2 linked regions of the Tribolium castaneum genome follow. The protein of the gene in region 2 purifies or fractionates together with the protein of the main gene of each other region. This does not show direct contact. Links are inferred from orthologs where the notes say so. Each region holds a gene or a part of one and is shown on either strand. Other genes may lie near its edges.

The links.
Region 1: the proteins of Cpsf100 (region 2) and Sym purify together in Drosophila melanogaster (affinity purification with western blotting; 3 studies listed by BioGRID). This does not show direct contact. The link is inferred for Tribolium castaneum from reciprocal best matches to the Drosophila melanogaster genes Cpsf100 and Sym.

Annotation. Positions count from the first base shown.
Region 1 is NC_087398.1:8,154,131-8,162,392, reverse strand, and holds Sym (symplekin), read right to left. Parts: upstream 4,979-8,262; 5' UTR 4,831-4,978; coding exon 4,792-4,830; intron 4,742-4,791; coding exon 4,545-4,741; intron 4,501-4,544; coding exon 4,111-4,500; intron 4,064-4,110; coding exon 3,777-4,063; intron 3,729-3,776; coding exon 3,268-3,728; intron 2,914-3,267; coding exon 1,798-2,913; intron 1,747-1,797; coding exon 1,549-1,746; intron 1,499-1,548; coding exon 1,340-1,498; intron 1,286-1,339; coding exon 1,007-1,285; intron 858-1,006; coding exon 801-857; 3' UTR 739-800; downstream 1-738. Other genes in the region: Ccdc39 (coiled-coil domain-containing protein 39), read left to right, coding at 180-370, 419-724; GRIP and coiled-coil domain-containing protein 2-like, read left to right, coding at 5,152-8,262. UniProt on the Drosophila melanogaster protein: Component of a protein complex required for cotranscriptional processing of 3'-ends of polyadenylated and histone pre-mRNA. Involved in germline stem cell transit amplification, differentiation and mitosis-to-meiosis transition.
Region 2 is NC_087396.1:18,206,494-18,214,807, reverse strand, and holds the start of Cpsf100 (probable cleavage and polyadenylation specificity factor subunit 2), read right to left. Parts: upstream 4,739-8,314; 5' UTR 4,600-4,738; coding exon 4,451-4,599; intron 4,402-4,450; coding exon 4,136-4,401; intron 4,086-4,135; coding exon 3,840-4,085; intron 3,795-3,839; coding exon 3,383-3,794; intron 3,335-3,382; coding exon 3,179-3,334; intron 3,131-3,178; coding exon 2,859-3,130; intron 1,114-2,858; coding exon 691-1,113; intron 133-690; coding exon 1-132. Other genes in the region: transcriptional regulator ATRX homolog, read left to right, coding at 5,012-5,516, 5,570-5,683, 5,738-5,779, 7,095-7,254, 7,305-8,177, 8,233-8,314. UniProt on the Drosophila melanogaster protein: Component of the cleavage and polyadenylation specificity factor (CPSF) complex that plays a key role in pre-mRNA 3'-end formation, recognizing the AAUAAA signal sequence and interacting with poly(A) polymerase and other factors to bring about cleavage and poly(A) addition.

The DNA.
Region 1 (8,262 bases), on a different chromosome or scaffold from region 2:
CATAATTACGTTCAATCATAAGAAAAAAAAAACTATCGCAGATAAACAGTGTAAACAAAAAAACTTACTGTCACTTAATGTTGTTTTATTAATTATTTTATAATATTTACCGTTTTTCACTCACAATACAAAAATTCAAAATGCAACACAAACGTTCTAACATCGTTTATTATTCGTAGAAGTACAAAATGCACTAAAAGAGCTTGAAATAAAACGCGATCAAGCCAAAGACGCACTTTTCGACTTGGAGGAAGAGTACTTAAAAACTGAGAAAGAAAGCTCTGAGAAAGAAGAAAAGCTCAAAAGAGCTGAACGTTGTTTAAAACTCGCACAAAAGAAAGTTCGTCACAAGGAACGTGAAAAATATGACGTAAGTTTATTTACATTTTTTCCAATTATTATTTGTTTATCTTTTCAGAGAGACTTGGAAATCCGCCAATTGAAGGAAGCTAATCTCAGTGCTATGCAGCGTTTGGTGGAAATGTCTATACGTTATCAAGAAATGGCACCGCTGATTACTCGTTACACGCTCGAATATGACGTCAAATTACCCGAAAAACGCACAATTGCCTCCTTGTGTGCCTGCTCAGAATCAACAAGGTCTACGTCCAGCAGTTCTTGTAATCAAGAAAAAGACGTTTCTGACGTTAAAAGCGTCAAATCTGAGTCCAGTTCGACGAAAAGTTCCGCAATTTCAAAAGTCTCAATTACATTCCAAATGTAGGTAAAAATACACAATTAAAGTAAGGTTTTTTATTCATTTGTTAATAAAATTGAGATAATAAAAGTTAAATTAACGCTTATTCCATTCCGGGCGGCAAAGGCTCGTTGGCTAATGTCGGGGGCGCAGCAATCGGCTGAAAAAAAAATTGTCTAAAAAACCGCAGAAAATTGGAACTGCTGATTAAGCTGCAACTAAAACAGTTCCACCCAACAAAGCCTTTTTAATTGATTACAGTTTCGATCTCAACTATTTTAAATAGTATTAAAAGTCACTAGGACTTACCTCTTCTGGAGTTACAACCACCGGTGGCGGAACAATCGTTGGTGGCGGCTGTGCGTAACTTCCTAAAATGATTTCCTGGACTGTGGGCGGGATGTGCGACCTTTGCCCTTCAGTAAAATTCAGCAAATGCTCTTTGAGCGGTTCCCTCAACTCGGGACAAATTGACAACGCATCAGATAGTTGGGGCGGTGGTAATTGCATCAAAACAGTAAAACTTTGCGGTTTTGTTCTTTGACAACATTTGATAAATCCCTCCCATACCACTTTCTGTTTCCAAACCTTCAAAAAGCAACAAAAAATATTGATTATTTTTTTTTTGTAATACGACAGAACCTGTTTTAAGATCAGACGTTGCAAAATATTCATCACGAACCCTGACAGTCGGGGATAACTGCCCAAAGCTTGGATGACAGTCCTCATGAGTAGAGTTGGTAGCGGGGTTTGGTCCATTAACTGTTGCAAAACAACAGCTAATACTTCTTGAGTAAATACCTGGAATTTGGTAATTTGAGAAATATATTCGGTGCGAAAATAATTCGTACTTGTTTTTCCTGAAGACACATAGATGTGGCCTTAATTATAGTTTTCAAGTCGGCTTTCGTGGAATCAATTAAATGTAGAGCGACCAAAAGTTCAGTTGGGGTAATTGGACTGTCACCATGTAAGCCTAAAAGTCGGTTAAAGACTTCCCTTACAACAACCGGGTTCAATTTAATTAGCTTTGGCAAAGCTGCAATTACCTACAATTGTACAAATTAGTCAAAAGTACAAACGACGCTCGACCTCATTACTTCTTTCTTTGATAACCCGTTCAAAACTGGGATAAGAAACCTAACATCTGACACTCTCGTGTGATACAATTCCCTGACTCTTTGCACCAACTGTGCACTCGGGGGGCCCTTGTCCGTCAAAACGTGTATAACACGCGTGACCAAAGTTTCCGAGCCTTTGGGACACTCCTCCACCAGTTTTAGAAGCTCAGGTGAGTCCATCCCCATTGATCTGATCGGGGTTTCAAGCAGACGTAGAATAATCCGTTTAATGTTGGCCCCCGTCTGTACGTAAACCTTAGCCAAGTCATGAATAAGACTCTCATTGGCTGGCAATAGCGAAATATACGGAATAAGACAAGCTTTTATAAAATCATCGCCCCAAGTCTCGCTCTTCAACCTCCCTTGACTAAACCCACACAAACTCTCCGGCGGCCTTTGCAACTTCAAAAACTCCAAATTCATTCGTGCAAACTCCTCAATCACCAACCTCAACTCCACCTTCTTGTGCAACTCCAAAACGTGTCCAATGGCACACTCTCTTACCACGCTCAATTCGTACGTCGTGTACGAGAGGAGGGCGTTGAGGAACATCAACTGTTTGGGGGGCTTCCGGACCGTCAAATCGTGCAACAACCCCAAAGCTGCTGTGCATTTCTTCTCGTCTCGGCACAACTGGTGGAGCTTATCCAAAGCCTCGTCTGTTATTAAAGGCGCTTCCAAAAACAATCGACAGAGCACTGCTGAGTCGTGCATACAAGCGTTTATAAATGTGCAAAGCAAGATGTTGTAGCTTTTGTCCAGTTTGGTGTCTTTGCGTAAAGGGGGCACTCTTGAGAAGCCCTGCAGTATTCCGTACTCTTCAAAAAGCCACGCCAGGGCCAGGTCTATGTGAGACCGTAAGTCTGATAGGAGAAACGCCAACACTGTTTGTCTGACAGTGGGGCTAAAGCAGGCTGCGATTGTGGTGATTAGTTTTTGGTACAAGCATTTTGCGGCTGTTTTGTCCGCGGTTAAAAGTCGGTTTATGGACCCTATTAACAATTTCTCCTTTGTTTCTTTCTCGATAGGTTTGGTGATTTCGGACAGTTTCAGTGTCTTGATTCGGGGAACTTTTGCTCGTTCCTTCTTCAGGAGCTACCAAATGTGTAAAACATGTTGTAAAACAAATAGAGGCTTCATTATATTTTTTTTTAAGAATAATTACTAAAATTTCTTTGACCTCACAATTACGATAAGTTATCAAAACATAACTTAAAAAAAATACAGGATGCGTGATACATAACTTCTCAAATCATCCGAACCAACATAAGCTAACAGATAAAGATAAATACATAAATAAATAAATAAATAAATAGACAAATATTTGGTACAATGAATTACATCTTATCTTTTCTTAAATACAGCTGAAAATGTGAAATCTGAATTGCAAATTACTGTTTCTGTTTTACTTATTATTATATTATTTGTGTGCAAAAATTGTTTTCTTACCTTTTCCTTCTCTTCCTTGTCCTCTTCCTCCTTCTCCTGCTGTCTAAATTCCTCGACCTTTTTTGCAAAACTTTTCGAAGACGGCGAAACCCCGGCCTCAGTCAAATACGTGGCAATAAGTTTTGTCAAAACATCAAATTGGCCAACTTTTCCACTATCGACATATTTGCCATACTCTTTCGCAAAATCGGGAGACATTGTAGCCGGCAGTTTACTCATAGAAGCGAAAACCATTTGAACCGCTCTTTCCAACGTGAAATTTTCAGACACAAAGTTCTCATTCAACTCTTGCAGTGTTTGCGAATCACTGTCATTGGTGTCGTTATCGAATTCAATTTGAGGATCAAGTCTAGGTCTTTTATTGTAGATCTGAAGGGACTCAACTGAGAGAGTCCTCTTGCAATATTTCCGCCGCTCGTCGGGTTTCGGTACCATTTTAAGAATGTCTTGCTGGGAATAACCTGAGAAAAAAATCCTAAAAAATTTTTTTGCGTAAAAATAAAACGCACCTAAATCGGTGAGCATTGGGGTTAATTTCTCCACAAATTCGTAAGCCGCTGGGTGTTTGATAAGTCCAGCGAGTTCGGATTTTAATTTTTTACGCACGGAATTCACTTGAGTTGTTGTTAGAGTTGGAGGTAGGTTATTGTAAAGTGATTCAATAGCTGAGACAACTCGAGACATAAATTCGGCCCGATTTTTTGCAATGTTTGTAACAACGCCCAGGCAGGTTAACAAGTTGGCACTGCTAATATGGGGAGAGCCAAAAAATTTTAAAAGTAACTCAAACAAGGTACTAAAAAATTCAATTAGAAATTTGCGAATTTAAAAAAAAATAAATACTTTGCTTCCTCTTCTAGTTTTCGCCTCCGCGCCAATTTTAACGTCAGAGGAACATCATCGAGTGAGAAGTCGTTCGGTTTCTTGTTCTCTTCCTGGTCGGGATAAGTTTGCAACAACACAACACATTCTAAAAATTTCACTGAACTAGTCCTAATGCCGTCATTGTCACTATCAATCATATTTGCAATTTCTAATTTTATGGCAGACAATTGCTTCCAGGCGTTTTCCATTTCTTCTGTAATTACAGAAGCCTTGCATAACCAGGCCAACGTTTTGCGATAAATACTGATTAAAGCTTGAATTACGCGCTTTTGCACCGCTATTGACTCATCACATAGTAGCATATGAAGGTTTAGCATTACTTTAGGTAAAAGAGACTCGCGCATTTTGCTAAAACAAAAGTTAAGTAACCAATTAAAATGCATAAAACCTACCATAACTCTTCAATAAAACCCACTAGCGCTTTTTTCACGTCCCCATTCCTATCAGTCGTGAAATTAAGCATGTTTTGTAAAAACTTTGGCAGCAAATGGGGCGACTTCCGAATCAAAACTTCTTGCAATTTGTGGAAGTATTCAAGCTTTTCTGCAGCAGAGCGGGACACTGCAGCGCTATTTATCCATTGGGTCACCTAAAACGCGTCTCTTTACTACCGAAATCAACTAAATCTCGGTTTTTTACTAAATCCTCGTCGGAAACTTCGTTCATGGTAAAATCCATGTCGAGAGGATTTTACAACCAAAAATGACGCAATTGTTGCCACTAAAGCAACGAAATTTCGAAAACAAAGCTAGTTTTATCTAAAGCGTTAAATTAATTGAAAATGAGAGCCAATCATCCATTTTTGGAAAGCCAAAGATTGAGGTTATGGCAGAAGTGACGTGAACATGTTACCAAAAAACAGTAACTTTTCCGCTTTTTGTTGGCGACTTTTGCTGTCAAAATACTATTGATGTGTCAAAATAATAAAAAATTATTAAAATACAATGTAATTGCTAATTACTTGGAAATTACAATACAATAGATTAAGTAACTATCGAGATGGAATCGAATACGCCATCCGAAAGTGGCAAGAAAATCGTTTTGGAGAATTTATCGAAAGAGGAATTGGTTAAACGGTGCGAACGGCTTTTGATTCTCGCCCAGAAGGCCAAACAGGCGAAGGACGCGCTCCAGGAGGAAAATAACGAGCTGAAAAATAGGCTAAAATCGGAATCTGGAGATGCCACAACTGCAATTATCGAAAATTTGACCCAACAGAAGTTGCAGTTTGTTACCACGATTGAAGACTTGAAGAGCCAAAATGCCGCTTTGGTGAATAAAGTGCAAAACTGCACGCAAGACGCACGTCTGTGTGAGGAGAAGGATAGGCTTGAAAGCGAGAATATTTCGTATAAAAGGCAAATCAAGCGTTTGACGGATGAAAATGAGCAGCTGATTACGCATCTGGAGTCTCTGGAAAAGCAACTCGAAGAGTGCAAAAACCTGGGACTTGAACAGCAAAATCAGCTGCTGATGTTGGAAGAGGCGAATCAAAAGTTACGGAGTGATGACACAAGTGATAAGTCTGCAGAGTTGCAGAAGATGCTTAGTATTAGTTTAGAGGAAGTTAAGAAGTTGCAAGCTGAGAATAACACAATGAGGGAGAAAATTGACGTGCTCAAGACGAATCTGGGGGAGAAGGATAAGAACATTTTAACGATAGGCCAAGAGTTGCAGGAAAAATTGAAATTGGTCGAGGATTTAGAAAAAATCAAAAATGAAACAAGAGAAAATGTGGAGTTGGTTGAGAAACTTAAAGGGAGACTGAAATTTTATCACTCAAAAGTTGTAAAACTGGCCGGTAATGTGAAGGTTTTGAAGGAAAATAAAAACGAGGTTTTGCGTTTGCTCAAAACGTACTCACATCAAGTGGAAGAATGGAAAGAACAGTTGGGTGTAGCTTCAAAAAAGTTGTGCCAAGAAATTAGTGATATCAAAGTACAGAACTCTGAATATCACAAGGAAATTGAAGGTTTGAAAGAAAGTAATGCAAAATATCTGAAACAACTTGAGGCACATAAAACCGACGACGAGAAAAGTAAAGAACTTGGCGAGTTTGAGAGAATTTCCAAAGAACATAAGAAATTGATTGAAGAAAATCAAAGATTGTTACAACTTCAACTTGACTACCAGCAAACTGTTGAAACGCTCACTGTTGAAAAGGAGAGTCTGCTTGAGAATTTGTCTCAATTGGAGGAAAGACATCAGGAAGAAATCAAAGTTTTTGACGACCAAAGCAAGAAAGACACAATTGAGATCAAGAACAGAATCGAAGAAAATGAAAAAATTTGCATTGAATACCGAAAAGTCATCTCCAAGCTGGAGGAGGATCTAGATTTAAACTTGAGGGAGCTAAATGATGCGAAGCAGAAGAATTACAGTCTTCAAGAAGCACTTGAACATTCAAAAGAAACGGAGAGGCAAATTGCTGATAAAACCAGTGAAGAAATACTTAAACTAGTTCAAGAAAATGCCCAGTTGGTGGAAATGAACCGAAAATTGCAAACCACCCGTGATAACTGCAAACAAGTGGAATGCCAAACTGAGGATTCAACAAACAGCGAACTGGAAGAAGTCGTGTCAGGTTTGAAGAGAGAAAATTCCGAACTTTTGGCCGAAATGAACGAAATGAATCAAGCACTGAAAGAAAGAGGAGAGACTATTTCCAAATTGCAATCTCACTGCGAAGAAGTTATGAAAAAATTGCAATTGTATGAGACACAAGCCAACAAAAACGTTGACAACATATCCCAAAAGGAGGAAATAATTAAAAAACTTGAAGACGAAATCGAGCGACTTAAAGCCACGAGTGACTTAAACTCAAACACCTCCGAAATCAGTGATTTGAAAAACGAAATTGAGAATTTGAAAGAACGGTTAAACTCGAATCTTGATTCAAGTTACGCCGATAGCGAGTGCATGTCCACGTCGACAATTTCAAGAACGGAGGAATCAAACAGAATGAAAGATCTGGAAGGGTCTTGGGAGGAAAGATACGGAAAACTACGAAACTTGGCCGTGAAACTGAAAGGGAAAGTTCGTGACTTGTCCAACGAATTGGTGAAGGAGCAAAACGAGAAGAACGATATTCAGCAAAAATGTGCCAGTAACGTGAAAACCATCGCAACTTTGCAAGCCCAGTGCGATAAATTACAAGACGAATTGGACGAAAACAAAAAACAAATAAAGGAATATTCCGCCCGATTGGATTCGACCCTTGCTGAAGTTTCCAAAGATAAGCAAAAACTGAGCGAAAACGAGGAGATAATCACCATACTCAAGAAAGAATTGGAAGAGTTAAACCAAGAGAAAGTCACGACTGAAGCCTGGAAGAAGCAAATAAGCGGCAAAGTTTCGACGTTTAGAAAGGAACTCGAAGCGAATAAGGTTTTGAAGAAGGAATACGAGGCCAAAATCGCCAAACTCACCTCGGACTTGGAGGCCAAAGAACAGGCGCTCAAGGCCGAGAGCGAGTACCACCAACAAACGAAAAATTCCCTTGAACATTCCAATATCGAACGCAAGAAAAACTCCGTCCTTAACCTGGAAATGCAAGACTACGAGAGGAGTGTCAAGGAGTTGTCCCAGAAATTGGAAAAGAAGCAAGAAGAAATCAACAAGTTGAAAAGCCAGCTCGAGTCGCAGAAAAGCACAACAAATGCGGTCCGCGAACAGAACAAGCTTTTAGAAGAACGAGCGGAAGAGATGAAGAGCGAAGTCGGAGCAACACAGGCTGAAATTATCGCTTGTAAGAAGCAAATTTCTGACTTGGAATCGGTCATGTCGAGTAAGGAGAACAAAATTCACGATTTGACCCAAATTTTGGAAACCGTGCGTTCGGAAAATGAGGAACTGTCGACTGAGTTATCCAAAGTCATTGCCGAGCATCAGAAAGTTAACACAAGCCTGAAAAGCGAGAAAGAAAATTTGAAAGGGCAAATTCTGGGGCTGCAGCAGACTTTGAGAGACGTCCAAGATGCGCTAAAACTGAAGGAAGACGAACTGAAAATCGTGCAAAATGATTACGAAAATTACAAGGTTCGGGCGCAGAGTGTCTTGAGACAGAACCAGAGTCGCGATGTTGGTCTCGAGGAAAAATTGTCGGAAGAA
Region 2 (8,314 bases):
CTGAATTGATGTTGCTTTTAGCCAGGATTTGTTTGAATTCGGAAAGTTTTAGTTCGTTGATGAATACTGTGTCGTGGGGGATGTTGTCGCCGTAGGGCTCCAGAGTCAATATTTTTGACTCTTCCTCATCGACTGCAAAAAGATAAAATAACCAGTTTTTTAAATGAGAAACTGTCGAAAGAAGTGACCAAACCCACAGCTCGTATATTACCTATAACAAAAATATAAAAAAGCCCAACGTCACATTTTACCGAAATATTTTTTAAATAAGAATGATAAAATTATAAAATAGTTATTAATGATTAGATCTCTCATTGAAAGTTTAAATTACACGAACTATTATTTTTTTGAATATTAATAATAATAACAGCTAATTTTGAGAGAAAATGCGACATTGGCGTTTTTATAGTTTTCAAAGAGCTAATCTTATTGAAAAACAATCCGTCTATAAATGAATATAGGATTGTAGTAGGTATTAAAAGTTTGCCGCTTCTTTCCACAAAAAACGAACAATGTTAGTATATGAAAAAAAATTGTTTCAATGGTTGTAGAGTAGATAAAAATTGGTACTTATCAGAAATTTAATAGAAATAAAGTAATTAAATGCGGCGAATTCCAATTCCAGAACCACCTGAGATCCTCTCTTTTATAAACAGACCCTATAATTTACGTCATTGCCACAAAATTTACCTTCCATTGGTTCGTTGTCGACATTCATCCTCCTCGCATCCAACTGACTTTCCCTGACCACAATCTGGGCGTTAAGCCACGCAACTTCGGCATCTTTAGCCTTCTGGAAATTCAGTTGAGACACCAGAGCATCAGTCAGACGCACTTGATAAATATGAGTCTCAGTTGTCGCATCCACGACTTCACCCCTGACTGGAGCAAACACTCTTGCATCGAGATTCTCCTGACAGTGATTTTTTATCGTGTTAGTACTCTCAGGCGAACCTCGGACGATTATAACTCTTCTGGGCCTCAACTGAGACAAAATTTTCATGAGGGATTCCCCGTCTGAGCGACCTTCGAAGTCAATATATTGCACTTGACAGTTAACCTGGACAGTCCTGCTAAGTACGATGCACTTGGACGGCGTCTCAGCCACCTCAGCTGTAAATATTGTCAATCAGTGACCTGTGATTTTAAAATTAGGTTGGCAACATTTATTATGTGAGGATAAGACTATGCCTAAAGCCGTTCTTCGGAAATAAGTAAATAAATAAATCGTGGGTTTATCGCAGAAAGTTACCAAGTCGGACATTTATTTTTAAGTTTTATTTAAACAAAACTATACCATTTTTTGGAAAGCAACAAAATATATAGTCTGCGAATTTCTATAATTCCACTAAAAAGTGTTATGTTTATTTATGTCTTACGACTCTTATATAATTTCTCACCAAAAGTTTAATTGCAGAAAAACAACATTGATTTTATAAAAACAATTATAAACTGAACTTATTTAAAGGCTTCCTTACTACTCACGCGTTTTTTATATTCACTTTTTTTCTCGAACGCCTTTTAAATGTGTTTTCTATTAAATTTTTATTTGATTTGTTTATTCATGTTATATAAATTTAGTATAAGTTTATTTTGTAACAGTGCTAAAAAAATTGGATTTCAAACAAGGCAAAAAAGCCAACAGCGCTTTTTATGGTCAAATTTGTCACAAATTTTAACTTTTTGTAAAAAAGTATGTGTGATAAGATTCCAATGACAAATTTATTGCCAAGAAAGCCTACAAATAAAGGGTAAAAATAATTATCCAAATTGGCAGTTTCTGCCACAAATTACGAACAGAAAATAATTAATGTTGCCAACTTAAATTCAAATCATAGGTCCTTAAATTCAAACTACAATTCTATGATACTAGAATGCGACACGACATATTAATTTATTAATAAAAAATCTCCATATTAAGATACCACATACGGGGTAATTCTTAAATTGACCGACAAAATTTTATCACAGCTATCCAAGTAAAAGTGGCGACGAAATTTTATCATAACTTTTCACCGAAAAGTAGAGACGACCTGTACATATTTAAGTTTTTATTTCGTAAGGCTCACTTACGGCGCTCATGGGTTTACTTGTATTGGAAAAAATGTGCTCGTTTTTATCATGAATATCGATAATACACAGTGATCATTGTTGCAGTGATCGAGTTACATTGTCATCAAATGAATATCATGCTCTCCAAGTTTCCATCAACTGTGCTAATACTACTTACGTATACATCAGTGACGTACTCTTTATCTCCAACATAATTTAAAAAAAATATTTCGAAAATGGTTAGGCAAAGACTTTTTTTATCAATTTGCCCTATACTCTATTGATACTCCCATAGTATTTTCTTATTTAAGTATAACGCAAAAAATACCAAAACATATATTTTTTTAAAAATTACCACAATTTTATTTTGAGAATACTGATAAAGATATAAAAAAGTGGAAAAAACAAAGTTGTAGAAAATTCAGTTTTCTATAAAGTAGTCCACGAGGCCACATCTCAATTTTCAACTGATTACATTTAATTTACTTTAAAGTGTTCCCCCAAAATCCACCTACCAGTAAAATAAGCTGCTTTAAACGTCATTGTTTCTTTATTTATTCTTTCAACTTTTTTTTTCTTACATTTTTCTTGTATATATAACCCTGTATTCGCAGCGTTTTGAGAAATATAGAACAGAACGCAAATTTTTTTTCGCCGCTCATTAAGAACATGATGCATTTTTTCTAATCAATCAGCGAACTAATTAAATTAATTTGAAACAGAGAATTTGAATTTTGCTCCACCTCACTAAAGGTTTGGTTAGTTGTTTGCCTTCTGATATTTAGTTGCCCGTAAATGATACTCACGAATGACCTCTTCTTCTTTTTTGATCACAACATTTTCCTTATTATCTTCAGTTTCTGTGACGACATCAGCTAGCTTGTAGTCTTCCGGTTTGATTATTTCGCCGTATTCGTCACATTTGATTTTTTCTTCGTGAAAAGGGTAGATGGGATATTGTTTTTTCGTAACTTTGAAAAAGCCACCTGAGGTCTTGCCTTCTTGTTTTATGACAATATCGTGCCGCCCTTTTGATATGACACTCATTTCAATATCATCGTCTGAATCCGACTCCTCGCTAAAAGGGGGATTAAGTGACAGTGTAACCCACCTAACTCAAACTTACTCCCTGCTGGAATTTTCCTCTCGTTTTTCTCTTTGGCTCTTTTGGTACTCTTCAAGTTCGCTACCTTCTAACTTGACTCGTCTTTTCACAACCAAATCGATTTGGCGATTGCCCCCATTATCGACTAAATCTCGAGCTAATGTCCCCGGAGACGTCCTTAAATCATACTTTAAGCGACAAAAAAAAATTAAATAAATTACAAACCTAGTCGTGATAATTATACTATTATTAGGATTTGAGCACCACTGAAGAAACAACTCGCGAGAGAACCCACTCTCCATATCAGGCGAACTCGCGAGAACAACTTTAGGACTTGAAACCTTCTGTAGTTCGTGTAAACTGTGACACAGTTGCAGATGTTTGAACTGGAAAGGATTATTTCTCGCGCCTTCAAAACTCCTCATCAGTTTATCACTCATCCACTCAATTTGAGACTTTGCAAACTCTACAACGTTGTAACTGACATTGCTTAGCAGAGCTAGAGAATAGACTAGAAGGCCTGATTCCTTGTTTCTCCAAAGCTGGTCCAACATATGGGCCAGTTCTAAAACACGGCCTGCTGTGTCCACAGCGACCAGAACGTTGCCGTTGTTCCTCAAAGTTTGCAAAATGTTGGCTAAAAAAATTATTAACAACTTTCCAACTCAACGCTCATTATTACTCATTAGTTTTTCGTCCCGAGCCCTTCTCCTGGCTTGTTGGTACGTAGCATTAAACGCATCAGTGATGAACAGAGAGGGCCTTTGTAACTTTTCTAACTCACAACCGTTCAAATGCCTCTCTTTTTTGTGGTTGAAATCATTAGCGTAAATAATGTCTTCTTCACCAACCTTCATTATTTTCCAAATTGTGCCCCCAATCATGTGCCCAGCAGGCAAGGGCGTGATTGTCAATCCATACCCCTTGCCTTTTCCCCAATTAACTTTTACGAAATAACAATTTTTGGAAGTTACCTACCTTTTAATGGAACACTCTGATTATACTTCAGCTGAATAACTTTCTCAAAAGTGGCGTCCACATCATCCAATGTGAATAAATCAAAGTCTTCCATATTATAATGAGACTGAAACAAGTCATACATAAACATTTGCCCCATCTTATAGACCGGTATTGTGGCATAAATAGGGCAATTCAAGCCCAACTTTCCGACTAAATATGGAAGAGCCCCCAAATGCGCCACATCAGGGTACGAAATCAAGACGGCGTCAATCGTGTGAACATGCCTTAAATAAAGTCAGTCAAATCAAGTTCCCGTTTTTAGGTTAAGTTCACCTTCTCATTTCTTTGATAATTTCCATATCGAAATGTTCGTCCCATCCACAGTCCAGTAAAATACGCACTTCGTCGACTTGCAGGATGTAGCAAGGGGGCGACTCGTCCATTGCCCCCGACAGGGCCTGCAGTTTGATTATTGAAGTCATTTTATGTGGTGTGCCCCAACTTATTAAACGGTGAGCATATTGGGTGTTTTGTGACCAGAAGTTAATTTAATACACAAATGTGCAAAATTAACTCATATTTTGGACAGTTTTGGTGGTGCAACAGGGACATTTGCTTTCTCATTTCTGACAGACGACAGAAAATTTCAACAGGATTGCCAATACAACAAAACAGTTTGTGACAGTTTAGGGGTGGTTTTCAGATTATTTTTGTTATTAATTTTTTCTGCAAAACGTTATGAAATCAGAGGATTTTTGGCTGTAGTGTAGTGATAACGTGCGTGAAAAATTGTTACTGATGAAAAAATTGACTCAAATGTAGTGAAGTGACTTCATAACCTTACATTTGCTCTTCCAATATTATTGTTATTTGAGTTATTACTAAAAGTATATTATGATGGAAAGTTCGTGTTCGGAACTCCAAAAGGTCCTAGTTGACGTGTTGAGTGACCTGAAGTACATGTCGACTCAAGTTATAAAAAAGTCGGATAAATTATTGAACGACGTAGAATCACTTAATCCGAGTTCCGTTGAGCCTTTAGCGCAAAATTTTAAAACTCTCATCGAGCGGATAAATATAAATGTGGGCGAGTTTGTAAACACATTCAATTCGGCCTTTGAAACGTACAAAAAAGCAGACGAAGCGGAGAAATCCAAAACTGCGTCTAGTCTTAAGACTCGGGAGGATCTTCCTGAAGTAAAAGCCGTAACCCAAGAGACTGACATAGATTTAGTGTGTGATATTGACTCAAATGCACAATTGCCAGGAACTTCCGGTACTCTAGACATTCCTACTGTAGATATCCAAGATGACAAAAGTGATGATGGTAGTGAGACTGATTGTGACGAGCCCACATTGCGAAATTTTGATATTCCTTTAGCTGATGGCTCCGTAGATGGTACTATTTGATTTATGCTTTGTAAAATTAATCGTTCGTTCCGCCTTTTCTAGACGTAGCCGGAGAATTAAAAAAGGCTTTAGATGAACTGACTAGCCAAGACGAAACAAAACACGAAATTAGGCATCATTTTGAGACTGCGAGTTTTGATTTTGACGATGTAGATGGTAGTTACATAGTCTGGTAATTTTATTTTTTAATAAAATACTTCTGCTTTACAGAACAGTTGACTGTTGCAATAGAAAAAGCCAAAGATAGCCCAGGTATTTGTCTTTCTTGTTTATTTTTAATAAATAAAGTAAACTACACCCAGACTTTCTCCACAATAAGCAGCTATTTTACATTTTAGTTGACTCAACTATTTAACAAATGAAATTTTAATGCGTTTTTAATTATTTCTACATCAGGTACACATTACGTTTTGCCTGTGTCACCCTTTTTTCTTTTAAGGCACCAAAATTTGTAGGTTAAGCCGAACAAAAAGTTTATTTCACTTTGTAAACTTTTTCTTTTCCCAAAATTCTGGATGATATGCAGGATGATCCAGTCCAGCTCCCGTCATCTGTAGCTAAGTTGAATCTTTGATATTTTATAGACGTTATTTATACTCTACGGCGCATTTTAGGAAAATATTTTTGATTATACAGTGTCTCCCAAAAAGGTTTGACGTCATACAATAATATTTTTTAATGGCATGCTATTATTTTTTGTGTGCATTGGGTTACCCTTTTGACATGTCCCTATTTTTTTTTCTTCCAAACTTTTTACATTTTGTGACTTTTTATTTTCAAATGGGAACCCCTGTTTATTTTTATATCATTCATCATTCGATGCGGAATTGGAAAACGAACATGTTTTCTTATTACAACCCTAACGTAAATCCTAATACATTAGGAGTTATTTGCTAAAAATTTTGTCACCTAAATAGCAATTTTAATGACAAATTTAATGAATAAAAATCGAAGATAGTTCCAACAGTGTTTATTTTTATGTCAGTCGATGCGGAATTAAAAAACATTTTTTTTTGTTAGAACAACTCTATTGTTTTTTTACTTCCTCATTGAATGACGTAAAAATAAACAGGGGTTCCCATTTAAAATAAGCAAAATAAATGCTCTAGATTTAAAAAGTTTGAAAGTAAGTTGTGAACACCTGTACTAACTCAGATCTATCAAAATTAATCAATAATAAGTCTGTTAAACCTTGTTCAACACATACCTAGTAATAATGTTATCAAAGAGTTACTGATTAATTTATTTTTTATTTAATAACGAATTTTTTTGTTTTTAAATCCCTAAACTGATATTAAAAAAATATGGATATGTAAGGAGCTATAAGGGTATCCTAATGAGCATAAAAAAATACTTTTTTGTGTAACTGTATAATCAAACTTTTTCCTGAAATATGACCTAGATTATAAATAACATCTACGAAATATCAAAAGTCCAGATTTAACAATAACTGAGCTACAGGAGACGGGAGCTGGACTGAATCACCTGTATGTTAGATCATTAAAACAAAAATTACTCCACTTGTGATTTAATCTTTTCTGTACTTTTTTAAGTATGTAAATTTTAGGTCGCGGACAAGAAGACAATCATGAACTTTTGGATTTGTTGAATAAAGCAGTCGACGACTCTGACGTGGATTTGATAACTAAGGGCGATCAAGCCTTACAGATTTTAGAAGAGGATATGTCATTATCAAGTTGTCAGGATTCATTCTCGGATGATTCTTTGTACGTTATTGGAATGAATTAATTTTGTTTTAGAGCCACTTTTGTTTTAGGTCTGATGATGATAATTCCGATAATGAAGTAAACCGTAAAAACGAAGATAATGTTGAAGACTTTTGCTCTTCCGTAGCTGCAGAAGACTGCCAAAATTTTTCTCTAAAATTACGACGCATTGATAGCAGTGATGGAGAAATAGATAGATTATGTAACACGGACACACTCAAACGAAAATGTAAAAAAATAACAGCACGACATAGGAAAAAGAAATACAGGCGATTAATACCTTTGGACAGTTCTTCGTCGTCATCATCGTCTGAGGATGAAAATTCCTCAGATGGTTCTGTAACGCCTGATCTCATTATAGACGAACAACGCCCTTCTTCACCTGTTTTTGGTGATGATGCGGAAAATGAGGCACTTGCGGCTTTGGCCGATAATTTAGTGGACAGATTGGACTCAGGTGAATCAAGTTCAGATTCGGACACTACTGAGGAAGAGGAGCCAGCTAAGAAGAAAAGGAAAATGACGCCTGAAAATATGGATGAAAGTAAAAATGTAAAGACTACAACCGAAGACAAGGATACGAGTAGTTCGAGTTTGGACGAAGAAACGATTCCAAAACGCAAAAGCTGGAAAAACGATCCTTTGCTTCGCAGTTCGAGCTCAGACAGCGATTCGGATGCAGATTCGTTGGTATTCCATGTGAGAGATAAAAGAACAAAAGATAACACTGATCTGAACGAAAACGTTGTCAAAGTTAATAATAACAGCGACAAGAGAAATGTCGTGGAAATTGAAAATCTTGATTCAGATCAGGAAAGTATTAGTGAAAATAAAAATGAAATTAAGGTAGCAAATAACAATTTCGAAACTATGATTATAACTGATTCGTCTGATTCAAGTTCTGACAGTGACGATGTTCTTATGTAAGTGAATGTGTTTTGTGTAGTTTTGTGGTTTTAGAAAACAACAATTTTTTAGCGTTGAGGATGAAACGGGTGGAACGAAAGGGCGCAGAAACATCAGGGCTATTTTAAGTGACGATGAACTTAACGAATTAACT